Oryzias latipes: one gene and its partners. The protein of the gene in region 5 interacts with the protein of the main gene of each other region in a pairwise test. Links are inferred from orthologs where the notes say so. Each region holds a gene or a part of one and is shown on either strand. Other genes may lie near its edges.

Region 1 (3,500 bases), on a different chromosome or scaffold from region 5:
ATCTCATCCATTTTATTAAATTCCTTGTAAAAATTTGACAAGTCTTTCTTTGTGTGTGTTCAGGTGGAACGGAAAACCAGGAGGCAGAGGAGGAGTATAGCCGCACTGCTCAGGCCAGTTGGGTTCACAGGACGTTCACGTCCTTCTTCAGTGAGTCCGTTCTCTTCAACACTAGGGAGGGACGAGCTGGAAAGGTAAGTCTTACAACTGCACATAAATCAGTCTATATTCTAACTTTAAGCTGCAAATGTCACTATTAGAAAACCCTCTCCTGCAGGTGCATAATTTCATGCTGGGCCTGAATCTGAACACAAGCGTACCCTTTTCTCCTGTCACTGGGGTAATGCCCTCTTCAGTACCTGAGGAGGAGGTGGATGCTGTAACAGGCAAGATGAATAAATGATTTGCCCCTCTGTCCATTGTTTTTTGCAAAAGTTTCAATAAAATTAAATGATAATTTGGTTCATTTTTTATGATATTGAGCTACTCAGAATCACTTAAAATTCATTGTAGTATTTCCCTTTTCTCTTTGCATTTGTATGTAACTAAAGAAACCATAAATATCCTCTGCAATGTTTTGGCCTGGAACTATTAAAAATAACAACTAACAATATTTTGCCAAATTTAAGTCAATAAATTATTTTTTTAAGATACTTTTTTACTTTCTGTTTTATTGTGAGCTGCATTCCACTGATCAGGATGGTATCTTCAGTCTTTTTGTCTTACATGACCGACATATTACTGTTGTAATGAGTAGCAGGGGAATAAGTTACATTTCTTTGAAACTATAGACTTAAGTTTCAACCTGTGAAGTTGGCTGAAATAGCTTTTACTAGTGATTGGTTGTGTTTAGTAAAAAAAAAAAAGAAGAAAATTCCCATCCGTACATCATTCCAGTTGTGGGAAAGTGTAATGGTTTGTTTTATTACATACCTACATAAATATGTCATAGTTTCACTTCAGAATTTGAAAATGTTGTCTCATAGTATTTAGAAAGTCTCACTTCACCCACACACATTCACACACCGATGGCGGCTCTGCTGCCTAATATACTGCCGTCAACCCATAACCACCAGCAGCATTTTGGGGTTCAGTGTTTTCAACACATGTGTGGGCAAGATGGGAACCATTGCCATAATGAGCTTAGTAGATGTGAATGTTAGTGTAATTTCACCAATACTGAACCCAAATATTTGTATTTTTGTGTCCTTTTTTCAGATCCGGATGAATTTGATCGCATTTATGAGCCTCTTGATGTGAAAAGTAAGAAAATCCATATTGTGGACAGCGGCCTAACATACAACCTCCCGTACCCTCTCATCCTGCGGCCGCAGCGTGGTGTTGACCTCATCATCTCTTTTGACTTTTCTGCACGACCAAGTGACTCTAGCCCCCCATTTAAGGTTCAATCCAAACTGTTTTTATCATACGAAATAATGATAAAAAATTTTGAAAGAAATCGCAACGTTTTTTACTTTTCTGTTTTTTGTTCTACAGGAGCTGCTGTTGGCAGAAAAGTGGGCCAGAATGAACAAGCTTCCATTCCCTAAGATTGACCCCAAAGTGTTTGACCGTGAGGGCCTGAAGGAGTGCTACGTCTTCAAACCAAGGAAGGGTGAAAAGAACTGTCCCACCGTCATCCACTTTGTCCTGGTCAACATCAACTTCAGGACGTTCAAAGCACCCGGTAAGTGTGTGTGCTCTATTTGGGAAAAGGTGTTTCCTGAGTCTCCATGGGGAAAAAAATGCAAAGGTTACATCATTATTAGAATCTCTTACCTAAAGTTATGCGTCAAACACAGTAATGATTAGTCAGCAGTGGATGGTGTTTTCTATTTTTCTTTCAGCTTCATATGAGCTTCTGGAATTATAAGCATCTTCTCAAGGTCACTGAGTTTTTGTGGGAAATGACGTGTCAGTTGAGAGTGGGCTGTGGTCAGTTTTATGACCCTCTCGAGTAAAATCTCGTTCCTGCAGAAATAGCGTGTCGGTCTTGGAATCTTCACTAGTGGGAGAGCTTGGTTAATAAACCTGCTATACATCAACAGCCATTCTGTGACTCACTCTCCACTACATGGTCTATAGGGCATCTGTCCAAACACTTCTGCTGTGTGCTTATGGAAGCTACATCACCCCAAAAACATCTGAAGGGAAAGAGCACTTTCAGTAATTGCTTGCAGCTGTATTTTTTTTAAACTGCTGCTTCTTCCTGTGACTGGGGCTTCATGTTTTTTCTATTAATGTGCAAAGAAATCAAAAGGTAGCTGAGTTTTTGGGGAGCAATAAACCTTTTTCATCGATTATAATTGACTAAAAATCTTCAGAGAAAGTATGAAACTGTTTTGGGGTTATAGAATGTGAAGGAATAGGTGAGCTGAAATGGTGAAATTTAAAAAAACATATGTTTTCTGTTCTGTGTTCTGCATGCAGGAGTTCCCAGAGAAACTGAGATGGAGAAGGAACTGGCAGACTTTGACATTTTTGACGACCCTGAGACGCCGTACTCCACTTTTAATTTTCAGTACACCAACAAGGCATTCACACAACTCCATGACTTAATGGAGTTCAACACCCTTAACAACCTTGAGGTCAGTTTGGCACTTTTGCAAGAATGGCAAAGATAAAGTTTTAGCAATCAAAGAAACAAAATATTGCACAATGGTAGCATGTCTGAAGACTGTTGCAGTGTGTAAAACTCAAGATAACAGCTGATTATATGATGATCTATCCAAACATCTTACATGGACCGACTGATTAATGCAGCTACACCTTATTTGTTCATTCAAAGCTGTCAGCAGGACAATTTGCTTTGTGCTTGTTGCATTGCACAACATTAAAAATTACAGTCCCCAAAGGACAGTCTAAGCAAGTGGATGCAGTGCTGGGGGTGTGTCACCATGTGAGGTCATCCTAGAGTTTAGTTTATGAGTCAAAAAAAAAAAAAAAGTTTCGTTTATGAGTCACTTCCTTTTTAAGTGAATCCTCAGACATAATATAAAATACCTGTAAAAGAATAGTTTGTAGGTGTGAGCTCATAAAAAACGTGCTTCAAATGAAGACATTGTATATCTGTCAATTCATTTTTTTCTTATGCAGGTTATTTTGATGTTTTTATGACCTGCTAAGAAAACCAGTAGTTGCGAAATTCCCTGTAGCAGCCGACTCAACAAAAAAATTGAAGAACTTAAAATTGCCGGAAGGCACTCCTACTTGTGTCAATCTATTTGAACCCATGTTGAGGCAAATTCATGCAGTGTTAAAAATTTGACATGTAAACACAAAAAAACACATTACAGTGGAAAGTTTTGACAGACTGCAATTTGAAAAATGCAAGTCACTTAGGGTGTATTCAGACTGAACACATTTGGTTTGGTTAAAATAAACAGAGTTTGTTTCCCCCGATAATCCAGAACAAATTTTCAGTCTGAATACACCCAAGTCGATCCTTGTCTGGGACCAGGAACCGCTCTCTGATGAAGCCATGGATGAGCTTCAGACAA
Region 2 (3,103 bases), on a different chromosome or scaffold from region 5:
TTACGTTAATAATTATACCCAAATATTGCATAAACATTTGTCATTTTTTGTAGCAATGATCATATACAAAAATTAACTTTGGAAGAAAATTTTTAACGTTAAATATACTTCATAACGTCGATTTTAAGTATTTATTTGTTTGGGAAATTTGCTTACGAATAACGTAAATTTGATGGTATTTCAGTGAAATTTATGTTATTTGTTTGTAAACATTGCATACAATAAATCAAATAATACGCAGATATTTGGAAATAAACATAGGATAGAAATACATCAATTTTAATGTTGTCTGTTTGCAAATATCGAATAGAAACGACGTAAACTTGATCTTCTTTGGTTGCGAACCTCGCAAAGAAAATTACGTAAATTCTGTTATTTGAATGCAATCGTCCCAAATGAATGTCGTGAATTTTCTTTTTTTTTTTTTCAAATAAATTACGTAACTTTGATGCTAACCTAGCATATGAATAACGTAAATGCTGATATTGCGATGCGAGCCTAGCATCCAGAAATCCCTTATATGGTAAAGGAGTTCTGGAAAGTGGTTGGGGTCAAAGTGCGCAGAGCTTTGGTCAACAGACTGCCGTCTTCAGCTCTGGACCTGCGGTCCTTCCTCTGTGGTTCTGGTTCTGGGTTAAGGCCGTGTGTTTGTGATCCCTCTGTGGTTCTGGTTCTGGTTTAAGGCCGTGTGTTTGTGATCCCTCTGTGGTTCTGGTTCTGGTTTAAGGCCGTGTGTTTGTGATCCCTCTGTGGTTCTGGTTCTGGTTCTGGGTTGAGGCCGTGTGTTTTTGGACCCTCTGTGGTTCTGGTTCTGGTTTAAGGCCGTGTGTTTGTGATCCCTCTGTGGTTCTGGTTCTGGTTTAAGGCCGTGTGTTTGTGATCCCTCTGTGGTTCTGGTTCTGGTTTAAGGCCGTGTGTTTGTGATCCCTCTGTGGTTCTGGTTCTGGTTTAAGGCCGTGTGTTTGTGATCCCTCTGTGGTTCTGGTTCTGGTTCTGGGTTGAGGCCGTGTGTTTGTGAACCCTCTGTGGTTCTGGTTCTGGTTTAAGGCCGTGTGTTTGTGATCCCTCTGTGGTTCTGGTTCTGGGTTAAGGCCGTGTGTTTGTGATCCCGTCAGCGCCGCTGCGAGCAGCTGCAGCAGAAGCTGCGCAGGAAGGAGGAGGAGGCCGCCAAGCTCCGCTGGAAGCTGCGCTTCGCCGTGGAGCAGGAGGAGCGGCGCTTGGCCCGGCGGAACCGCAGCTTCCAGGAGATCTGCGGGAAGACGTCCCGGCTGCAGACCGCCGCCGATCAGCGGTGAGGGCGCCGCCCGCCGCCGCCACGCTCTGCTGCGGCTCTCACCACAGCAGCGTTTGTGTCTGCAGGGTTTTGGACGTCATCGACTTCTACGAAGCGGAGAGGAGGCGACTGATGGAGGAGCTCAGGTGAAGCGGGACTCCTCCTCTTCCTCACTTTCAGGAGCCTCAGTGTCAAAACGAGGAGATTAGGATTAGGAATAATCCCAAAGGGGTTTTAGTATGAAACCTTCTCCTCTGCAGGTCTGCTAGAGGAGGAGCCGAGGCCTCGGAGCTGCAGGACGGTGGGGAACGGACCGCCGCCGGCGCTCCTTCATCCTTCAAAACAGACCTCAAGGCAAAAACTCCCAAATCCAAATCTTTGACTTCCAACAGGAAAAGCTGGAAATTCCATTTCCTGGAAGCTGAAGAGGAAGATTGGAGGAAGACCAAAGGGAATTATTGGTCCACCTGACAGGAAGTTCATTTAAGCAAAGACTTTTATTGTCTTAAGATGCCCAGTTCAAGATTAAAGCTAAAGTGTTTTACCAAAATAAAAGTCTGGGTCAAAAAACGTCACGTTGGCAAAAAAAGACTTCTAAAAAATCATTTAAATCAATCAATGTAAACATAAAATATTAATATCCATTTCAGCCAAAGAATCAGATTTTTCTGAGGGAAGATTGATAAAATACAAACGTTGAAGCATTTATCTGAAGTGGGATCGGTTGAGTTTTGAGGTCACATGATCTTTTCTTGGCTTCCTAAAGTTCTTCAGAAACATCTCTTACTTTGAAGGATTTCTTTTTATCTTTAATGAGGATAAAACCAAAAGTTGCCTCTAAAACAGTCTTTAGGCTTATCTTTTAGGGTCCGGCTCTCACCAGGTGGCGCTGTCCTCCTCAGGTGTTCCCACAAAAGGAGAGGCGCACGCAGCTGGAGGCGGAGCTAGACTCCAGGTGGGTGGAGCTCCTGCTGCTCCTCAGGGTTCTGCTGGGAGGCTGATCCTCACGCTGCCTCTGTTCCTCTGCAGACCGACCCGGGAGCAGCCGAAGGGCCGCAGACGGCGCCACCTGGAGGGGCTGCAGCCGGGCGCCGCCAGGTACGGCGGCAACAGAAGCTGTGGGCTCTGGACTCTCTTTGGGATATTTACTCATAGAACTGGTTATAGTCCATTTTTATTTAGATTTATTTATTTTAGATTTTTTTAAACCACATTAAGTTGTAATTTGATCATTTGGGGAAAATAATGACAACAAAAACGACCAAAAACAGTTTCCACCTTCATTCTATTTGCATCGTTTTGACTTTTTACTGCTCAAATGATCCAAATGAATCTGTTTTAAAGAGAAACCTGATCAAATCATTGGTTTTGATATAAAATATTGTCTTCCTATCGTTCTTTTCTGCTCCTTTCAGGCTACAGAAACATTTAGTTTCCCTAAAATACTGTTGGGAGCTGAAAAAAATGAAATCTTGACAGACTTTATATTTGAACGTTTTTGTCTGAAGTCTAAAGCTAGGGACACAAAAACACTCGCTAAAGGCATTTGGGGTTCACACTGGACCAGCAGGGAGGGGCTTCTTCTACTCTTTACCAGCGCATGTCGAAGTGGTGCAGATCTGGCGATTTCAGCGCAAAATGGTTCCGTTTCTTGCTAGTGCCCTCCGTACGCCGAATAGGGATTAGCGTCATGTAAGGGGAGGGGCCTCTTCTTATCTTTGTTTAAAAAAACAAACGCGTGTCGTCGGGTTTGCGATAAACCAAGTACCCTGGAGTTTGGCGGGGTTCTCCACGTCTGTTTGACCTTAACACGTGTGTAATGGCCGTGCC
Region 3 (3,985 bases), on a different chromosome or scaffold from region 5:
TATCAAACAACTTGGGTGTAAACGAGGTTTGTGGGATTTTCTAGAAGCAAAGTATTCTTGTTGTAATAAATATCAGGTTAGAATTTAATTTAAAACAAAAAATTGAGGTACAATTAAGGAGAAATCTAAAGGCGTGTTTGCTTTCACCTTCATTTTCCCCTTAACACTGACTTATTCATTTCAGTCTTTTGATAACATCATTGTTTCTGCTTTTACAGCAATATAAACATCAAAACATTGTTTTAATTAAATCTCTTGAACTACTGAAAATACTTTCTTGCCAGCCCTTTTGACACCACATCTTGGGACTTCAGTGGTTGTCTCTGCAAGTTCTGCAACCACTTGAGGGTTTCATCACTGATGCCCTAACTTTACAGAAATAAAGCAATAATATAGGGAGATTACCACATTGTACACATTTTCTTTTTTTAAAAAGTATGACTTAGAAAAAACTCTACCTAAATATTAATACATCTTTCATTGTAATAAAATTGAAAAAATTCTGTTTATTTAATTATCACAATGTTTAGTATAACTGTATCTCGTATAAGTTGCTTTTACCCAAGCAAATTTACAGTGCTTTTATTTTGGTAACATAAAATATATATAGGGAACAGTCAACATTGTCTGAGTTTTCCACAACAAAAAATTGTTCAGTACAAGAAAAAAAAATAGAATAAATGTCCCTTAACCAATACGGTTCTAAAAATATGTTTGAAGAAATAAAAGTCTGCTTATTTTCACATTTAAGAGGCCTTCTAAAAGTACACAAAAGATGCTGCACTAACAGCCAAAACAATGAAAAACGTCAGTCTTACAAACTCTTGATTAGTTTGCAGAACCATCAATACTTAAACCACTTCATTCTTTTTTATTCATCATTGCCAATTTCTGTTGTGTTTTAATAAATTTTACACACGATACAAAGACGTTTTAGTTGGACAGACTTTTTCTTTTTAGTTCTAGATCAAATTTAGTAGGAAAGCTTCTTTATTTCCCTTGAATATAAATAATACATTCAAGGGAAATATATTTTAAAATATAAATTATCTTGAGGAGGACATATACAGCATACAGTTATCTATTGACAGACGCTACGGTAATAAACTCACATCCCAGACCAGAAGGTGGCGGTAATGCGCCGTTCTGTTGTTTGCCACCCGCTGTATATATATTTAAAAAAAACTTTTAAAAAAACGTCCAACGAAGAAGAAGAAGCGAGCAACCTTCTCGCCTTCGTGGCAACGGACACTTCGAGAAGCTTGGGTTTGGAGACAGCATGGCTTCACCTGTCGGTTGTGAACATTACGTACGCGGTTGTTTGTTAAAAGTGAGTACCCGTTGTAGCCTCAGCGGAAGCAAAGCTGTATGCTAGCGTAAAATGAAACAAAGGACGGACAGGCCAGGGGGCTAACTCAACAACAACTGTAGTGGCAGACCCAGTCACCGTTTGTCCGGAGCGTTATGACAGTTTTGACAGATGGAGCTCATGTCCACTTTAAGATATTGGCAGGACGTCGAAGTTAATGGGTTCCATGTGTTTTGTTTAAAGGATATACACTTCATATTAAGTTTATGATTTTGCGACTACTGCTCTGCTGCTGCTTGTGTTCCTCAGCCGCACATTGCCACATCGTTATATAATTGTTAACCGACATTTCTTTAACGTTTCCTGAGATGCCTACCAGTTAAACCCCATCCAGATGTTGATGTTCCCCTAACGTTTGCGTGTTTTTGTGAACTCCAGGCGCCGTGCTGTGGGAAACTGTACGTGTGTCGTCTGTGCCATGATGCTCAGGAGAACCACCCGATGGATCGCTTCAAAGTCAGAGAGGTGCAGTGCTCCAAGTGTAACACCTTGCAGCAGGTAAGTTGCATAAATAAAATAAACCACCAGCTGTAGTTGATGACTTTTTATTTTTATGCACGTTACCCTAAATGTGTCCTGTTTGTGCATGCTTCTCTAGGCCCAAAAAACATGTCAGCAGTGTCAGTTACAGTTTGGGGAATATTACTGTGACATCTGCCATTTGTTTGACAAGGATAAGAAGCAGTACCACTGCCAGCCCTGTGGAATATGCAGGTAAATGTGTCATTAACGGCAAACACTCATCAACGGTTTACTAAATGGCGTATACTTATATGGCGCTTTTCTACCTTCTTCAGGGCCGTAGCGCTTTAGTCACAATCCCATTCACCCATGCACACATTCATTCACACACTGGTGGTCTCAGGAGAAAGTTAGGATTTTGTCTAATAATTAGAGGTGTAGCGACTGATCGACTTAATCAGTGAATCAATTTATATTCCTAATATCCAACAAGATCGATCTGTCTGAGGCAACAAATCGACTTAAACCACTATGAAACTGTTGAAAAATGAAACATACCCATAATATCTATTGAAAAAAATCTCTGTCTTTCTCTGTATCTGAAGATATTTGCATGCTTTGGATTTATCGATCGATGTTGTTCTGGCTGTTTTCAGAAACACTTTATTTTTAAAAATCTATACTTGATCCTAATTCTTTTGCTGTATGTTAAAAAGCTCAAGTACAATGGGATTGTCTGGTAAAAGAAAAGTTGTGCATTTCTAATGAAGAAACAAACAGGAAATCTAAACAGTTGCAGGGGAAACGTGAGTTATCGGTATCGGCTGGAAAAAATTATAACCGCCCATCCCTAGAAGAGACACCACAGAAGAGGCTGATTGACAAAACCAACAAGTCACAGTGAAAAAGAATCAATAAAACAGCGAGACAGCGAAATATAGCGAAGGAACACCACCGGTAGTGATAATATTCTCCTAAAGTTTGGTACATCAGAGGAGGAACGATGCAGGCAGCGCCATGAACAGGCAAAGCCCACGCCATGTAAAATTAGGGTCAGCAGCGAAAAGTCTGGATTGAAAATTTTAACTGAGGTCTAAAAGCAAAGAGGGGAAGAACCAAAAAAAAAAACAGACGTTGAAAAGAAAAAAAGGCTGCTGTTAGAAATAAACATAATTTTCAGGTTTAAAGTTGTTTTTTAAAAGTCAAATTTACTTTTTTGACAAATTTTCAATAATTCTTTCAACTTTGTTTTGGTCAAAGTCATAATTTCTTTGTTTGTTTTTTTTCAAATTTTTAATAATTCCTTGAAGTATACAAAATGTACTTTCAAGTCTTAATACAGTTTTCAAGTTTTCCTTCTCTTCAAATTTACAAAATGGGTTTTCATTCAGTTTATGCTGTTCCCAATTTCCCTCCATAAAAAATGTCCTGGATGGAGTTTTAGGTCAGTGAATCAGTTCGTTCAAAATGAAACGATATCACCTATGAATCATATCAGCAACCACAAATTCTGATATGAATCAAATTGTTAAAATTAATCTTTAAACCCCTAATAATAGTTCATTTTTTCTTTTTTATCCAGTTACCCACTAACAGATGAGTAAACTATGTGTGTTCTGGTATTGGCAGGATTGGACCCAGTGAGAAGTACTTCCATTGTGACAAGTGCAATTTGTGTCTGGCCCAGGATCTGAGAGGAAACCACAGAGTGATTATGATTATTCACCTCCTTCTGATTCACTCTAATGGAAGAAGTTCTCACTTTGTTTTACTGACTTTGGTTTTTTTTGATTACTTTCAGTGTGTCGAAAATGTCTCTAGGCAGAACTGTCCGGTTTGTATGGAGGTATGAAACCTTAAAGTACATGTAAAACTAATATTGGATTTTCGTCTTTATTTGAGCCCAACTGTTTTTTTTTTGTTTGTTTTCTCTTTGTCAAAAGGATATTCACACGTCCAGGATCGGTGCTCATGTCCTTCCATGTGGCCATCTTTTACACAAGTGAGGCGACTTTTCTTTTCTGTTGGCTTAGGTTTATGTGTGTTAACTGCAAATAACAGTTTACAGACGAGCTGCAATGATTTCAAGCTATTTTATAAATACTTTAAACAGATTTCCTTTTAGAAGCACACAAATTAACACCACCAATGAGT
Region 4 (4,134 bases), on a different chromosome or scaffold from region 5:
TACATGGTCTCATCTGGTTTAGGCTTCTGTCCAAAACAACAGAATGGAAGGGGGCAAAAATAAACTACTGAGTTCACGCGTGCACAGCCATGATTTTTTTTTGGCCTTTTCTAACCTTGTGCAGCACTGGATAACAGTGAGCATGGTCATAGAGAATGCAGTTAAAGGATCCATACACCCCATCATTGACGTAATACATCAGAGTCTTGTTGTCTTCCTCTGCAGAAGAGTTTATGGTTAGAGTTTAAGGTTAAAAAGCATTTCCAAAATAAAAAAAGCTTCAGTCAACAATATTACCATCAATGGGAGCCTCTTCATCAATGATGACCTTCTTGGCGATAATATTTACAACCAGTGTGTACGCAGACGCCACATAGAACCGCCCGGGCTCGGCAATGATCCTCACACCAGAGTCAACGGGAAAATACTTGTCCAATGCGGGGTTTATCGTTGCTGTGATCTAAAAGAAGACAAAAAAATACTGTTTAATATTTACAACCACTCTTCCTTTTCAAATCCTAAAATTCTTATAGCTGTTTGATAAACTTTTGAGAATCTCATGGGGCTTCATACCTCTTCAAATGAAAGTTCAGTATCTTCTGAACCAGGGAAACCCCCTCCAATGTCTAGGAGATCCATTTGGAAGCCCAGCTCCTCCTGTGAGTTCAAAGAATGCTTTTATTTTCACAACACGTTCTAAGCTGTGTCTAGATGTCAGCAGTCCTTACTTACACCCATATCAAAGACACAGCGTGCGTCTGCTATGGCCTTGACGAAGGTCCCAGCATCAGTGCAGCCACTCCCAACATGGAAGCTGACGCCAACGACATCCAGCCCCAGCTCCTTGGCACGCTCCAGAAGGCCCCGACAAGCTTTTATCGGGGCCCCAAACTTTACGCTCAGACGACAAACCGCCTTCGAGTCATCTGTGGCAATACGCAACACCAGTCTGCACCAAAACAAATGTATTATTAGAAGGGCCGCAATGCAAAAGCGTAGCATTCATTTCTTAGAGGTAAAGAGCCTTACTTGGCATTGTCATGGTAACGAGCGACTTTCATGAGTTCCACTTCACTATCAAAAGTCATCATCTCCACTCCGTGGGCAGATGCATACTTCATCTGAGAAACTTGCTTACAAGGATTGGCATAGATGATTCTGTTTGGATGCACTCCCAAGGACTGAACAAGCTGAATCTCTGTCTAAAGCAGGAAAACAAACTGCATTGAAAACTCACTTCTACTACAGAGAAATTCTATATTAGACTTAATAAGGTTTCTTTAAAGACACACCTTGCTTGCACAATCAAAGCCAGTTCCAAGAGACGCGAGAGTCATGACAACAGCCCGGCTGTCGTTGCACTTGACGGCATAAAAAGGTGTAACACGGGGTAACGCCCTCGTCCAGCGGAGGTGTTTTTTCAAAACATCTCCCAAGTCACAGACGTAAAAAGCATCCCTGTCGTCCTGCAATATCCAAACGATACAGTTTTTTAGCTGTAGTGTAACTAAAACAACAGCCATTTTCTTTATCTATCACCATTCCAGACAGCATATCACTTTGCCAATGATTGACAGCACAGGATGCTTACGGTCAGGGATGACTCATTGATCTTCTGCTCAACAATATCCCAAGCAGAAAACCCTTCCTCAAGGAAAGAAAATTCAAGTGTGGGCACTTCAGTGTTCATGGTAACGTGTGACCTAAACAGAAATGAGAGGCTGTCATCATATACAGACAGGTTGCACAAGACCAAAGTTCCAAATGAACAAGAAAAAAACAAAAAACTTACCTGGATACAAGAGACACAATTATTTGCTGTAGTTAATCAAGTCTTTGAGGCCAAGGTGGTTCACCGGTGAAGAAGTTAAAGCCCTTTAAATAAGACTCAATGCTAGGGCCTGTAGAGGAGCCGCGGTACGATTTCCTACTGTGGAGATTCTGTCAGAAGAAAAATAAGTCACTGAATCAGTGAATGAGCAGCAAGATGAGCCATTTTACATCTACAATACGCTGCACGTGTTCAGCTCAGACCCCTGAACCTCCTGTTCTGAGTTAGTCTCTAACTTTCAGCAAAGCTGCCATTTTTCCAAGAAAAGCCATGATAACGACACGAGGCCCAAACACGCCCACGAAAAACCGTTATCCAATCACAGACAGGGTCCGGCGTCATGGGAAGAGGATGAGCCAATCATTGTCCGAGCTTTTCGTGATGACGTCAACATACCGGTTCCGCCTGGACTGGTAAATGCATGTGCCAAGAGACGAGCTCTTTTTTCCATTTACTAAAATATTTGAATAAAACCGGACTTAAAGCGTAGAAACAGAAATGTTTAAGATCAGAGTCGCTGACGACATCAAACCAAAGCCAGAGGCCTGCGCTCTCCTAGCTTTAGCAATGTTAGCAAAGAAAGCTAGTTAGCAAAGCCATGATGTAAAACAGCCACGTAACGCTTTTGTAACCGCGTCCTGCGGTTCAATTCCTAATGAGATCCACGTCTCTCTTAGCCTTAAACAGGCACGCGGGCCCGACCGGACATTAGCCTGGTTGTCGGTACTTTAACCGAAAAGAACATCGTTACAGGCGAATTTAAGCGTACATACATAAAAACTGCAGCCGATTCAACGGCTTGTTAAAAATTCTCCTTTACCTGAAAAAGCATTTACAAAGAGCATGTCCATGAGACCGAGGACCGGGCGTTAAAAAGAGTGGTATCCCCGCCGAAAAGAAGCGCGTTCTTCGCGACGCCTTTCTGCCGGCTGACTGCCTGGGAAACCCGGTAGCAGAAGCAGAACAGACTTTATAGGGCGGCCGTTACCATGGCAACGCAGCCAGCTCAAACCGGCCCACGCTATATTCAGAAACCAGTTCAAGCTCGTTACTTGATCCACGTGGTGAGACATCAGACAAGGGCCACACGGAGGTTGTTTAAAGTTCTTTTGAACGTTTTTTCTTCATGTGTTAATCATTTTGGACAGCCGGAACTCTGTCCCGGTGTTAAAATTCATTCCAGTCAAGTTGACCTTTCAAAACTTGTAATAACCCCTTCTCCCCATAACCATTTTAGTCAGAGGAGACACTAATTACACCATTGTTGATACGGGATGCTGATGTGGAAACAGAGTAAAATACCAGATAGACAACAGATGAGCATGTTTCCTTTCTTTGGAGAGGACTGAATAGAAACTTCAGGATTCACTACATAGTAACCCTTGTTCTATCTTAGATGACCCCACCCTTCCATTGACGTGTTCTCCCTACCATGACAAAGGTGGAAAGATTTCATGTAATCCATGGACACCAGTGAGGATCACAAATCATTGACGAAAAACGGTTCAGCGCACTGTCTAATGGGTCTAGATGACCCAACTCCCAATGGTAAAGTGCCTAGGATAGCACAAGGGTTAAACAAGAGACAGGTAAATGGACAGCCATTTTTTAAAGACCCACTCAAATGAAAATAGTGTTTTTGGTGCTTTGGCATGTTCTTGTGGTATTTTAAGATGTTAGAGGACATATAAATAGAAAATTAATCTTAAAACGGCCTTTTTATGGATTTCTTTATTCAAATAGTCATGAATCAGAAACTACAGAGCCTTCCAGCTGTCAGTAGCTAAATAAATCTGGTGAACCGTGCGCACGGATTAACCAATTGTGCTTGTACTGTTGCGCCTGAACACGGCCTGTGACTAATGATAACGTCACACGTCATCATTACTGGATGAACTTCAGCTGGAATAACATCCGCCTTTACTCTGTCTGGACCTGACTGGAAACACCAATTCACGATTGGTTGCATGTTTTCTCAGGACTGTTCATTCAAAAGCCGCCTCCGCCCGTCCCAAAGCCGCTTCTCTGCTTGGAGAGATGAGATGCACAAAAGTTGTCAAGCCAGCCTGAAAATTTATTATTCTGATCTTCACATGTCCAAGAAAGCAGTCATTTAAAAACATATATTCAAGCACAAAAAGATCAAAGCTGAATTGACGTCAAACTGAAGAGAAATCTGCTCATGTCGGCTACATCAGGTTACTGGCTGATTTCTGTTTATTCTGGTTTTGTAGACTTGAGTGAGCCACTGTCTTTGTCATGGTGTTTTGGGTGAATTGTTAGGAACACTACACCCGGAGCTT
Region 5 (4,031 bases):
ACTCTCTGTGGAACTTCATTCCCAATTATATTTTCTCCCAGGTTGGTGGCCTCGACTTTTTACTCCTCTGCACCTACAAGCCCGACAAAGTGCCCATCAAACTATCTTCATTTCATAAACAGATGTTACTTGCTTGGTCCATGATTTATAAACATAATTTTTCTCCTCACAGGTTTTACATTTGACACAATAGATATATTCTTTACAAAAACAAAACTATCTTTATCCAACAGTGGTTTGATAATAATATCAGACTAGTTAGTCAATTATTCAATCAACAAGGTCAACTTTACACTTACACCGAATTCCTTCAGTTCTACCAGATCCCTGTTTCTATGAAGGACTTTTCGGTTGTTTTTGATGCCGTTTCCCTCAACCTCACCTATCTTTATAAAGGAACTCCTACTCCATCTGCTCCCCAACCACAGCTTCATGTGACAGACACTGCTGTCGGAAAACTCTGCTTCTCTGCTTTGAGAAATCAAAACAAAACCATCCGAAGACTGTTCCAGCAGGAGCTCAAAACTGAATCCCCGGCCATAACTTTCTGGACTTCACTTCATGGTCAAATGTGTTGGGAAAAGGTTTGGCTTCTGCCAAACAAATATCTTCTAAACAACAAAGTGAAAGAGGTTTCATTCAAGATCATTCATAGGTTTTATCCAACAAATCAGTATATGCAAAGGCTAAAAAGGGATATTGATAAAAACTGTTTTTTCTGTTCTCAGTCTGAGGAAACGTTGGTGCATATTTTTTGGACCTGCAAGTACACTGAAAAAATATGGGACAAAATGACAAATTTGATAAAAACTCAAATTTATCCACATTTTAATTTAACCTGGAAAAACATCTTATTTGGTTACATTAATTATGATAAGACATTTTTATCTCAATTTTATTTAATAAATCTTCTAATTTTATTAACCAAGTATTATATTCACAAATCTAAATTCAGCAATAAAGCTCCTAATTTTCTTGATTTACTAGCCCAAGTTAGATGTTACTTACATTCCATTTCCCCCAGTACAAACAAAAAAGCTATTAAAACGTATCACCTTGCTCAGCTGTATAATTTAGTGTAAGTTTATTTTTTTGCTTGCATATCCCCTGGCGTTTATTTTGAACATTTGATGTACAGCTTATTGTTCCTTGTTCTTTTGCTGTATGTCACTTTTGTTCTGCATCAATAAAAAAAAAAAAAAAAAAATTTCCGGGTTGGCTCCATAACTTCCGCTTAGCGACGCATGCTCAGTCTCACTGCGTTTTACGTCTTTGATGTGGACCGGCATTTTCCCACAACACACTGCAGCAGCTTACACCAACGACGAAAATGGCGGACAACTGTTCTTCGGTAGGTTATGGAAACGTATATTATTGTTTTTAAAAATAACAGCTACTATTGGATACTAACATCTGCTGTTTTATCAACAGGTCGAAATTGTGGAAGGCTGTCGCCTCCCCGTTCTTCGTAAAAACCAGGAACATGAGGATGAGTGGCGTAAGTACTTTTCGTTCGTGCTTAGAGCTAAGCTAATGCTAACTAACAAACAAATATGACGGCCTTCAAAAAAACCTTAAAAACAAATTCAGATAAAATGCAGTGACTGCTATGGTAGAAACTGTTCGTTTAGGTCTAAATTGCTTTGTTACTTCTTTATTTGTGTTTTTGGGCTGGAAATCATTTAGTCGCAATGTTTAAACACTAGAAATTTAGATAAGTCTGAATTACATTTTGCTTTTCAAAAGCCCTACATTTTAAATTACGAATTTAAAAAAAGGTTGAGTTTCATACGCAAGGATTGTATAAATTGTGATAATTCACTGCTGTCCAGTACAGTTCATCATGTAGACATGAGAGCTGAAGTTAAAGATGACAATGTTTTTTCTTAAAAGAGCATAAGTTCATCTAGTTTGTTGAATTCCTGAGGTAGTTCCAAGCTATTTAAATCAAAGTACTAGCTTTGTTACACATCATCAGTGTGATTAAAGTAAGCAATACCCATTTTTATCTTGGCGCTAAAAAGCAAAACCACTCTTGCACTAATTATAACTGTGAATGTTCATTTTCCACTTGAATTAAGATAAAATAGCTGTGTGTTTACTTTGTAAATAGTATTTATAATTTCTTTTCTACTTGTGCAGCTTTGGCTGAGATCCTGAGTTTGAAGGAGGTTTCTGGAAGAAAGCTGTTCTATGTTCACTACATTGACTGTGAGTAAAGCAAAGTTCATCTTTCCTGTTTCACTATCATTAAAGAAAGCTTAGACTTTTCATTCATGTCATTGTTTCAGAAAAAACAAAAGTGATTCCAAACACATAAAGAACGTTCTAGTTTCGGTCGTGTTTCATATGGACGGAAAAAAATAATCTTTTCATAACAGTTGGTCTTTTAGTTGGTAATGTAAAATTGTGTGTGTCTGCAGTCAACAAGCGCTTGGATGAATGGGTCACAGCAGACAGGCTGGACATGAAGAAGCTCCAGTTTCCCAAAAAAGAAGCAAAAACACCCACAAAGAATGGACTGTCAGGCTCGCGTCCTAGCTCACCAGAAAGAGCAGAAAGAGAAGTAGTACCAGTAAGTTTACCCTTGAAGATTCATAATAAAGCATTAGTAAACTACATTTAAATGTTTACGGCAGTTCCCCAACAGTACTGTTGGAAAACAGTTGGTTGTGAAAGACTATTTTCATTGACTGCTTAGTTTCCATCTTATTGAAGTTGAGTTTTTTTTTGATAAAAAATTGAATCTACAGGTTTTTTTTCCAGTCACAAAAACAAAACATACTTGCATACTTGCCAGGCTTGTTTTTAGGACCTTTTTTTTTTTTATCATAATCTGTTTCTGTTTTATGAGTGTTGTCAAGCACTACATATATATAGTGTATATATATAGTTATATATAGTTGGAAAGTTTTGTCTGTATGCTGTTAAGTCTGGTTTTCTTTTGAAAATGTGTCTTTGCTCACTATTTCAAGGGCCACACACAATCACAACAAAAGCATGAACGGCAAAAGCATGAATGGCATCTCTGGGTTTTTTGTAAGTCAGTTGGTAAAGCAGCTTCTGCAGTCTCCTGCTCATTCTGTCTGATGAAAAACAGACAGACCAGGTTTATGTCGACACTCAGCAATGTCGGTCATCTGCAACATATTTGGGTTAGGTGTTTTGCAGACAAAATCCTTCTTGAACAGCATGCATTGACAATAGTTGCTGCCCTGTTTCTCTTCTAAATGACACAGGCTATAAACTTAAGTAGATTAGAATTCTTCCTTTAGCTTCAAAGCAGAGAAACAAAATGGTTAAAAATCAAATTCAACAAAGCAAATGTTCAAGATTTATTTGATGCTTTACTCAAGATGCCTCTGATACAAATATAACTAAAATTGGAATAAAATGATATTGTTGAATCAATTGTTACTTAAAAAAATGAATAGTTCTCATAATTAAATGGATAAATAACGCCCCGTAGAGTTGATATTGACTCTCTCCTTAAAACTCAACCCTCACACTTTATTTGAGCTGTGGACTCTCTTTAAAGTTTGAAATTTTGCCAGTTAAAGTTTAATGTTATTATAATTTCAGGGGGGGGTTGTCTCTAAATTACCTAAATCACTGCGCTGTCTGCTTTCTCTTCAAACTGTGCTCTGTGAGGTGACTGCATAACAGTGAGGATTCATGTTTCAGTCCATGTTTCAGACTTATTTTCTAGAACCAAAGTATGGTGGCACCGGAGAGCTATCCCTAAAACTGAGACTCAGTTTGGTCAAAGTTGTCTGTCTGAGAGCACAAGGAGTAGCAAACAGATGTTGGGGCTGACGGGGCAAAATGCAACAGCACAGCACTCTGCAATATTCATGTTAATTACTATAATATTTTATAATTTATTCATGTAAATGCTGTGCCTAAAAAAGAACATATTTTAATATTCTTTACTGTTTTATTTCCTGAATAAGTTATTAAACTGCTGAAGCAGTGTGTGGAAAAACTTGGTAAGACCATAACTTTCTAGAAATGAGAAGAATCTTTAAGTA
Region 6 (4,117 bases), on a different chromosome or scaffold from region 5:
CAATATAAATACAGTACGGACAATATATTGTGACAGTGTACCACTGTCACAATATATTGTTCATATAAGTTATATTTAATCAATTCTGAGCTTGATGACTTCGCTTGTTTGTATTTTCTATTTATTTAAATTCTTTAATGATCAATTTGGATTCACTTTAGTAAAAAAAAAAAAGAATAATATTTTAATCTTCTAATTTAAATCAGTACTTAGACAGTACTAGATCAATCCCATGATATTTGTTATAATATGTATTTGTTTGTCACAGTGTCATTGGTGTCCTGCTAAAACACTTGGGTTGTTTAGTTAACATAATTCTTCATATTTTGGGTTGCATTTTGGAGCAATACTTTTTTTTGTAGCCTGAGTTTTTCTTATTTTCCATAATAGCCCAGAAAAAGTTAGTTAGAGTTGGGTTGTGTGCTTTTTAAAAATAGAGTTTTATGGAAACCAGTTGCCTATTGTGGGTTACCATTTTTATTTGTGCTACACATATTTGTCTTCATTATTGCATGTTGAAAAAATCCATGGAGCGCTTCATCAGCAGAGTCACCTGCAGTTCTTCCCTCTCACTGAAGAACTGTGCCCTGCTCTCCTCAGCGTGGACGGGATGAGGAAGATGGAGGCCCAGTTTGCTGACGTGAAGAAGACAGAGAAGAAAAAAAAGAGAAGGAGAGCACAGTTTGTTAAAATCACAGTTCTTTAGGAAGTAGGGATGAAAGTAATGTCATATCATAAAAAGAAATGTTTGTCCTGATCTGCAAAGTCTCATCCATAAGAGTTAAATAAAAGAATATTTCCAAGCATTTCCTACTATTTCGGTGTCCTCAGATCAAGGAACTTCTCTTTTACATCCAAGACGACATCTGTAGCTCTGGTATCTGGAAGCTGAATTTTGACCTGAAAGCAGCAGAAGTGTGTAATGTATATTTTTAAGTTTTATGTCAGTCCATTAGCAGCTCAAATGGAATTTTAGCCTCAAAAGAGGAATTAAACTTAAACTACAAAAGTTTCAAAGGAGAATTTTGACAAAACACAGAACCTGCAACATCTTTTACTAAACGTCTTCCTCCTAAATTAGTGCTCTGAAAAACTCATTTGGACGTATTTTCTTCAATGTCTTCTCCGTTGTCACACTTTTAAAAAGTGGTTTTCAGATTATGCTTTGTTCCTTTTTGGAATTCACTAAAAATGACACTCTGCGCTATTTGAAGACAATAAAAGAAAACTGAATACTGGACCAGCAGGGCTTCACAGCACATGGAGGAGGGGTCTTTCCCACTGAGGCCAAAAAACACATCTTCTGTTCCCACACTTTGCTTGAGGATCATTTCATACCTGTACACAGATATTGCATATAAAACACTCACTTTGCACATGATCTGGAGAATAAAGCTTACAATTTTCAATAATAATAAGCAATTTCCAGTGAAACAAGCTGCCTCAAAAGTATGTTTTATTAGCAGTGAGTCTCACTCAGGCTGTGGCCGCGGGTCAGCAAAGTCCATGAATCGAGAGCCTTCAGCCACCTCCTCCTCACTCCAGATATCCTTGCTGCTCTTCTTTATACTTGGCTCTGTGTCAGCAGCGTCACACGTACATTAACATTCACATTTAGCCTCAGAATGACACATTTTGAGAAGGTTTGTGATAAACAATAAAGAATATTCAATAGAGATGCCACAATTCTTTATTAAAAACTGAACAGTATGTTACGCCATAAAACCTAATCATGGGAAAAGTGAAATGTTGCATCCCTGCAGCATACCAGCTGTTATGCTACGTTTAAGAGGGATTTACTGTTTATTAAGGATGCAGTGATACACTTTCAATTCAGTTTAAATTTCAATTTTTGCGTCACGATTTTGCTTGCTTGCATGATTTGTGTATTGCAGACCAACAACAACAACAAAAGAAATTCTGAAAAACCCTTTTTTTAAATTGCTAAATGACAATAAAGAAAAACTTTTCAGATGGTTTTAGCTTAGCCTTGTGTAATGTAATATAACAATAAATACATGCAATACAACAATGAACAATAAATTCTTCATCAATTTAGCACAATACGTTTGACACTTTCAACGTAACCATATTGGTACGCAGTAGAGATGAAACGGTTCACTTGACCAATGATGCAGTTCAGCCGTGTAACACACGGATCGGTTTTGGTTTGTAATTGTGACATCCTTAGTGTTTGTTGCTTTATTGCATTACACTAGGTTCAGTATAAGCCACATAAAGGGTTTCTCTGCATTATCTGCAAATTTAAAAAAAGGGATTTTCCCAATTTTTTGTGTTTTTTGTCGTTGTTTTGTAATGCACAAATATGTATATTTTTAAAACATGAATGAGACCCAGAACTTGAATGTTGCCCTTTTACCTTCTTTAGAATTCTGTGGAGGGAGACCAATTTGTCCAGGGCCCAGCTGTGCAGATGGAGTCACTCTCTGGTGAGGTTAAAAAAAGTATTGACATACTTCCTCATTCTCTCTTTCTGCTTAAGTGTTTTTAAATCTCACTTGATCCTCTTCCTCCTCCTCTTCGTCTTCTTGCTTGGTGGATAACAGGGCAGACAGAGCCCTGAGGGTCTCCTCGGATGATAAACCCACATAATCCATTGGAAAGAAAACGTGTTATTCAAAAGATGGATGTTAAAACTAACACTAGCCTTGTTTAGGTGTAGAATGTAGTCACCAAAAAAAGGCCACAACGACCGTAATATCTGACAGACACTAAAGTTCGCAGCTGCTATGCTAACTGCACGTTTGGAACGTTGACGCTCGTCACCATGGAAACAAATGGGTTTCAGGCTGCCATGGAAACCAACAAAAAAAGAAAAGAAAAAATTTATTTCTTTAGCAAAGATGAACTGACTAAAGAACATTTTTGTAACATTATTTCTTTTTTTAGAACATTTTTAACTTAAGGCAGGAAGAGTCTAGAATATTTTTTATCCAACAATCAGATTTTTTTAATGGAATATAAAGTCGTGTTCATAAAAAAAAACAACTTCAATCACGTTATTTTTATATTCATTTAAATGAACAAATACAATTTTACAATACAAGTTTACTGTCAAAGCAAAACGAACGCAAATATCTGGGAGGCGGCGTCATGATTTGTGTCCCTTCTCGGACACCGTAGCTGATGTATGGCCCTCAGGGATCATGTTCAAGGTGACAGGTAGTGCCATGCCGGGATCCACGCGCTTGCTGCCGCTCGTTTGGGCTGCTGATGCCGCAGATGGTGGGGAGAAAGAGCCCGAGGCCCGGTTAAAGCTGGATGACCTGTCCCTGTACACCGCTCCTCAAAAGCCTCACTATGTGGAGCCAGCGGCGGGGCAGCTTGAGGAGCACGTCGCCACCCTCAGGAAGTTAGTTGAGCCCTACACGGGATGGTGTCAGGCCACCGTCGGTAAACTGAAACCCAAAGTGGAGAGTCTCGTGCAGTCCGGAAATGACTCCTACGTCTACCTGCAGAACCATCCCAAGGATTTCTACGCGCAAGCGGGGATCATCGGCTTCACGGGGCTCCTCGGATTGTTCCTCGCAAGAGGCTCCAGGGTTAAGAAGTTAATCTACCCCGCTGGTCTGATGACCGTGAGCGCCTCCTTGTACTACCCGGAGGAGGCGGTGACCATCGCAAAGTCAACCGGGGATTCGGTGTACGGATACGCGGTTCGGGGCTTCGCTGCGGCGGAGAAGCTCCTCAGCCCGCAGAGCAAAGACGGAAAAGGCAGCAAGGCAGAGACGAAACCATGACGGATGGATGGATGGATGGACGGACGGACGGACGGACGTCCCCGCGCAGCAATAACGGATCACGCGGCAGCAGCTTTTCTAGTACTGTAGATGATGGACCTGGACAGGTTCCACTCTGATGTCTGCACTATTCCTCATGCTTTACTCAGGCCAGACTTTGCCTTTAATAATTGACCTCTGCTACGGATTTGAATGTATATTTAATGATAAAGATCAATATTTTGCTTTGGATAAAAGAACTTGAAACACTTTAACGGAGTCTCACGTGCTGTCTACTGTTACTTGAATAGGACAAAAAGTACTAAATGAAGTTACTGAGGAAATACAAAGTAAATATATTTAAAGTTTTTTCATAA
Region 7 (4,123 bases), on a different chromosome or scaffold from region 5:
CTGCTCTTCGTTTCCCTGCTGTTCTTCCTGAGTGATGTTCTGGTGAGGAAAGTCATCCTCGTTTCCATTCTGACTGATATTACAGTTGTGATCTTGATCCTGATGATTCTCAGCTACTTTCCGGAGCTGGTTCTGGCCTTCTTTGACCCACTTGGCATTGTTGCTTGTAGACTCCTGGTCGCACCAGTGGCTGCCTTCATTCAGCTTGTTTTTCAGCTCTTCCTCTTGCCTTTGTTTATTTACAACATATGTCATATCTTCATCATCATGACCACCCATGGTAACTTTCCATGCGAGATATCTGATGAAGAAAGAAATGTTAGAAACACAGCGTTAGAATTTCAAATAGCATGTACTTTGCAGGCAGTTTAGGACAACAGTTATTTTTTAAACACAGTTTTTATTTCATTTCATGTGGTTTTAAATTATAGCATTTTAAAGTGATCTATACTTGTGCAATCATGTGTAGGCACAGGGCTAAAGAAAGACAGAAATAAACACAGAATGAAAGAAAGACAGACAGAAAGACAGACAGAAAGACAGACAGAAAGACAGACAGAAAGACAGAAAGACAGAAAGACAGAAAGAAAGAAAGAAAGAAAGAAAGAAAGAAAGAAAGAAAGAAAGAAAGAAAGAAAGAAAGAAAGAAAGAAAGAAAGAAAGAAAGAAAGAAAGAAAGAAAGAAAGGTTTTGTTTTATGAAAAAATGCTGAATACATTTTTAACTGTTGGCATATTTCTAAAAAAACACAGGATGAAAACAAGATACAAAATCATTGCAGACAGGCTAAATCAGAAACCTTTTTTGTTATTCACTGCAACCGATTTCTAAAGCAGGATCCTTTTTCAAACGACCCATAATTTCTTTCCAAAAAGCTGAGACACAAACCACAAGCTTACACTCCCAAAATGGCCTGTAAAACCGAAGATTCTTTACAAATCTTAACTAAGACTAACTTAAGCCTGTGATGAAAAGGCTAGTTTTCTTAAAGAATCTGCTAAAAATGTATTGCAGAGTTAGTGACCAATTTCCAACCTTTTTTCTTTATTTCTTAGAAATGCTGTTGCTTTTATAGAACTGAATTTTGATAGCCAAGTCCTCAAACTGATTGTAAGTCAGCAGCTGGAACCAGTGAACACCAAGAAAAAAAAAGTTTGGATGTGGATTAGGCCTGGACAATAAATCGCAAATTTATCGTTATCGCATTATCAAGCTGTGCATTACGCATAACCGCAAAAGTCGGTGAAAATTGCATACCTTAAATGTGCTAAAACAATCTTATGACACCTTGAAGTATTTAATAAATCAAATAAATCCCTTAATGTTATTGCCCAATCAGATGGAGCCCTTTTAATGTTAGATGCTCGCCTCCTATGCAGACGAGGGTCATTTGGAGTAGAATTTAAGTTATGTTGACTTTTATTTAAATCAAACTGTTGCAGTGAAATGGAATTGATGCTTTTGGTAGTTTTGCTATTCGTTCATGCATCGCAAGTTCTATCATCATCGCAATATTGATCACTATTATCGCAAATTGTGAGTTTTCTTTATATCGTGCAACCCTAATGTGGATATCAGTTATATGAGAAATTTTATGTCAAATATTAAGATCATCTGAGCAATATGACAGGTATCCGGTCCTGCATATAACCAAACTCTTGCAAACATACAAAGTAGCTGTTATGCTGTTGGCCTGCAGAAAAGTCAACCAATGATTCTCCTGCACTCTGATTAGAGCTAATGCAGCAGTAAAACTATTTCTGATTTAAAAAACAATAACAGCCACAGCCTTTAGAGAAATAGGGAGCTGCAGCAGTCGCATCAAACCTTGAGAAATGATTTTATTTTAGTTTTAAGACACTGTCTTGGAGGAGGCAAAACCAGAGCAGCACAGTCATTCAGTGGAGGCGTAAAAAGACAGTTTGACAGCTGAGAGTCTTTTTTTTATTTTTTTTTTAACTACTTTGACAATTGCATCCCACTTGATCAGTTGACATAACGCCTACCTGGAAGCTGTGGAAGCTTTATGAGGAACCAGCTGTTTGGTTTTCCTTATTTTATATACTTAAATCAAATAATAATTCATTTAGGAGAGGGGGCATGCAGCAAAGCTTTGAGATAATGTCAAATATCTGATGCTGCAGTTCCTACATATTTCCTATAATTTAATAGCACGTCGTTAGCATCTACAAATATGCTTTTCCAGATTGATTAAAGCAAATCCATATGGGTAGAGTACGTTTAAAAGAAGCAAGTGTGTTATTATTCTTCTCTATGGTCGTCAGGGATTCCATCCGGAAAATTATACTCATCCTTTCCATTTGCTTGCTTGCTAGCACGGCCTTTTTAAGGTTTAAGATAATACGCTCAAGTGGCAGTAAAATGGCTGGCCCTGACAAATATTTTGAATTCAGAAAAGAATGAATACAAAATATAAAAGATAGAAGACAAAATTCAGCGGCGGATGCTATCGCCGCAGCTGGAAATAACGGCCACCATCCGCCGCCATCATCACCTTCTTCTCTGCTCGGCTAAGGGGTTAGCTTCGCCCCGCTAGCCAGCCAAGGCTACCGAAGTGAGGGTTTCAACGGTTGACGTCTCCCAGGATATTATCCAGAGCTGTTCAAAAGATAACTTACCGGTTCCACCAAACCCGCTGTGATCGATAATTGCTCTGGAGGCCGAGTTAACTACATATTTCCACGCATCGTGAGGTTCTGCTCGGTTCTGGGTGTTTTCAGGCAGTGATGGAGGACGGACTGCGTCACGGAATGACGTCACGGCCCGAGCCCACGGAGCAGGAAGGGGGGCTCCACGAAGCAGCCTCACCGTTTTTGGAGAAAAAGATCCATCCAGTGAGGACGTTTTTGACTTCATTACATGCCACATCAAACAATCACATCAAACATGAGAGATAGGTAAATATATACTGTATATGTAGTCTTTAAAGTATTGTACAACCAAAAAAAAAAAAAAAAAAATCAGAGTAACGGAGCAGAAAAAAGGAAAAGGTTACATAACTTTAATTTTATTTCTCTATTATTTCCCAACAAAAACTCAAAACATAAAGCCTACAAAACCTAAATTTAGCGTGGCTTTTTTATACTCTGCTTTCCTTTTCAAAAACCTAATTTCTGACCTGTTTTTGGAACAACAGACAGATAACGGTCAATTTAGATTATTTTATTTTTTATTTTTGCAGCCTTTAAACTTCATTTTATTATTGAGCTTATCAGGTTCAACATAAAATTGGCAAATAAATATTCATTTATTTTTATTTTTATTATGAAAAAAAAAAGTATAAACCGAAAATAAAAGTCAAATACAAGAAAGAAAACATGTTTTTTTTTACAGTTTGTTTCAGTTTTTAAAATAAATTGAAAACATTTCTTGGATCATTTTAATCAACCATTGTGTTAAATCTTTAGAACTCAAATGTTGTTAAATAAGAATTTTAACCTATTGCATCTACACAAAAAAGATATTTCCAGTGCACTAAAAGCTTAAATAACACTTATTAAATGTATTTTAAAATATCTTATTTTTTTAAATAAGAACAAAAACAATTTGGACTATTTGTTAATCTTCTTAATCAATGCTAAAATTCTTCTCCAAGCAAATTATGGATAAGCTAGATCAGGGGTGGGCAAACTTTTCCACTCGTGGGCCACAAAGGGTTCTAAAATTTGATAGAAGGGCCGAACCAGGAGTGTTTTGGTAATCTAAAGAAATAACACGCCATATAGACGAAAACGTTTTGATTGGAAATTAATATACATTTCAAAACAGGACATTTTTGAGTTTTTAGTTCAAAACTGTGGCTTTTGTTCTTATTTTAGAGCCAATTGCATGAATAGCTTGATGTATCGCGTTTAAAACACAAACTTCTAGAAATGCTGCGTTCATGTGGTGTTTGAATGATCGGAAGAATGAAAACCACTCCCAACACCACGTGGATGCTGGAGCAGGGGTCCCCCAAACTGTTTCTTGTGAGGGCCACATGATTCTTCTCTAATGTGTCAAATTTTAAACTTCTTTTGTCTTTCTTTTATTATAAAGCACTTTGGTACCCCGAGGGAGTTGTATGTGGGTCTGATCGCATGGCCAGATTGAAAAACAAAAA

Evidence for each region.
Region 1: the proteins of kat5 (region 5) and pla2g4a interact in a two-hybrid assay, tested with the Homo sapiens proteins (2 studies listed by BioGRID). The link is inferred for Oryzias latipes from reciprocal best matches to the Homo sapiens genes KAT5 and PLA2G4A.
Region 2: the proteins of kat5 (region 5) and cep70 interact in binary tests that used the Homo sapiens proteins (3 or more experiments, as listed by UniProt). The link is inferred for Oryzias latipes from reciprocal best matches to the Homo sapiens genes KAT5 and CEP70.
Region 3: the proteins of kat5 (region 5) and rchy1 interact in a two-hybrid assay, tested with the Homo sapiens proteins (2 studies listed by BioGRID). The link is inferred for Oryzias latipes from reciprocal best matches to the Homo sapiens genes KAT5 and RCHY1.
Region 4: the proteins of kat5 (region 5) and odc1 interact in binary tests that used the Homo sapiens proteins (3 or more experiments, as listed by UniProt). The two-hybrid records come from large-scale screens. The link is inferred for Oryzias latipes from reciprocal best matches to the Homo sapiens genes KAT5 and ODC1.
Region 6: the proteins of kat5 (region 5) and pih1d3 interact in binary tests that used the Homo sapiens proteins (3 or more experiments, as listed by UniProt). The two-hybrid records come from large-scale screens. The link is inferred for Oryzias latipes from reciprocal best matches to the Homo sapiens genes KAT5 and DNAAF6.
Region 7: the proteins of kat5 (region 5) and apbb1 interact in binary tests that used the Homo sapiens proteins (3 or more experiments, as listed by UniProt). The link is inferred for Oryzias latipes from reciprocal best matches to the Homo sapiens genes KAT5 and APBB1.

The regions. Positions count from the first base shown.
Region 1 is NC_019862.2:15,098,526-15,102,025, forward strand, and holds part of pla2g4a (cytosolic phospholipase A2), read left to right. Parts: intron 1-63; coding exon 64-194; intron 195-277; coding exon 278-386; intron 387-1,218; coding exon 1,219-1,403; intron 1,404-1,497; coding exon 1,498-1,687; intron 1,688-2,430; coding exon 2,431-2,588; intron 2,589-3,500. UniProt on the Homo sapiens protein: Has primarily calcium-dependent phospholipase and lysophospholipase activities, with a major role in membrane lipid remodeling and biosynthesis of lipid mediators of the inflammatory response.
Region 2 is NC_019860.2:1,157,418-1,160,520, reverse strand, and holds part of cep70 (centrosomal protein of 70 kDa), read left to right. Parts: intron 1-1,115; coding exon 1,116-1,291; intron 1,292-1,359; coding exon 1,360-1,419; intron 1,420-1,533; coding exon 1,534-1,627; intron 1,628-2,175; coding exon 2,176-2,228; intron 2,229-2,302; coding exon 2,303-2,371; intron 2,372-3,103.
Region 3 is NC_019867.2:25,253,050-25,257,034, forward strand, and holds the start of rchy1 (RING finger and CHY zinc finger domain-containing protein 1), read left to right. Parts: upstream 1-1,185; 5' UTR 1,186-1,279; coding exon 1,280-1,330; intron 1,331-1,747; coding exon 1,748-1,867; intron 1,868-1,967; coding exon 1,968-2,083; intron 2,084-3,460; coding exon 3,461-3,539; intron 3,540-3,632; coding exon 3,633-3,677; intron 3,678-3,774; coding exon 3,775-3,833; intron 3,834-3,985. UniProt on the Homo sapiens protein: E3 ubiquitin-protein ligase that mediates ubiquitination of target proteins, including p53/TP53, TP73, HDAC1 and CDKN1B. Mediates ubiquitination and degradation of p53/TP53; preferentially acts on tetrameric p53/TP53.
Region 4 is NC_019880.2:20,006,623-20,010,756, forward strand, and holds the start of odc1 (ornithine decarboxylase), read right to left. Parts: upstream 2,801-4,134; 5' UTR 2,652-2,800; intron 1,942-2,651; 5' UTR 1,793-1,941; intron 1,704-1,792; 5' UTR 1,691-1,703; coding exon 1,592-1,690; intron 1,467-1,591; coding exon 1,293-1,466; intron 1,203-1,292; coding exon 1,030-1,202; intron 950-1,029; coding exon 733-949; intron 658-732; coding exon 574-657; intron 461-573; coding exon 298-460; intron 220-297; coding exon 116-219; intron 27-115; coding exon 1-26. UniProt on the Homo sapiens protein: Catalyzes the first and rate-limiting step of polyamine biosynthesis that converts ornithine into putrescine, which is the precursor for the polyamines, spermidine and spermine.
Region 5 is NC_019872.2:15,162,042-15,166,072, reverse strand, and holds the start of kat5 (histone acetyltransferase KAT5), read left to right. Parts: upstream 1-1,231; 5' UTR 1,232-1,330; coding exon 1,331-1,351; intron 1,352-1,431; coding exon 1,432-1,498; intron 1,499-2,142; coding exon 2,143-2,211; intron 2,212-2,423; coding exon 2,424-2,575; intron 2,576-4,031. UniProt on the Homo sapiens protein: Catalytic subunit of the NuA4 histone acetyltransferase complex, a multiprotein complex involved in transcriptional activation of select genes principally by acetylation of nucleosomal histones H2A and H4.
Region 6 is NC_019875.2:2,473,855-2,477,971, reverse strand, and holds pih1d3 (protein PIH1D3), read right to left. Parts: upstream 2,801-4,117; 5' UTR 2,619-2,800; coding exon 2,520-2,618; intron 2,448-2,519; coding exon 2,381-2,447; intron 1,577-2,380; coding exon 1,477-1,576; intron 1,339-1,476; coding exon 1,242-1,338; intron 901-1,241; coding exon 815-900; intron 636-814; coding exon 506-635; 3' UTR 455-505; downstream 1-454. Other genes in the region: MICOS complex subunit MIC26, read left to right, coding at 3,168-3,761. UniProt on the Homo sapiens protein: Plays a role in cytoplasmic pre-assembly of axonemal dynein.
Region 7 is NC_019871.2:9,726,916-9,731,038, forward strand, and holds the start of apbb1 (amyloid-beta A4 precursor protein-binding family B member 1), read right to left. Parts: upstream 2,801-4,123; 5' UTR 2,640-2,800; intron 302-2,639; 5' UTR 280-301; coding exon 1-279. UniProt on the Homo sapiens protein: Transcription coregulator that can have both coactivator and corepressor functions. Adapter protein that forms a transcriptionally active complex with the gamma-secretase-derived amyloid precursor protein (APP) intracellular domain.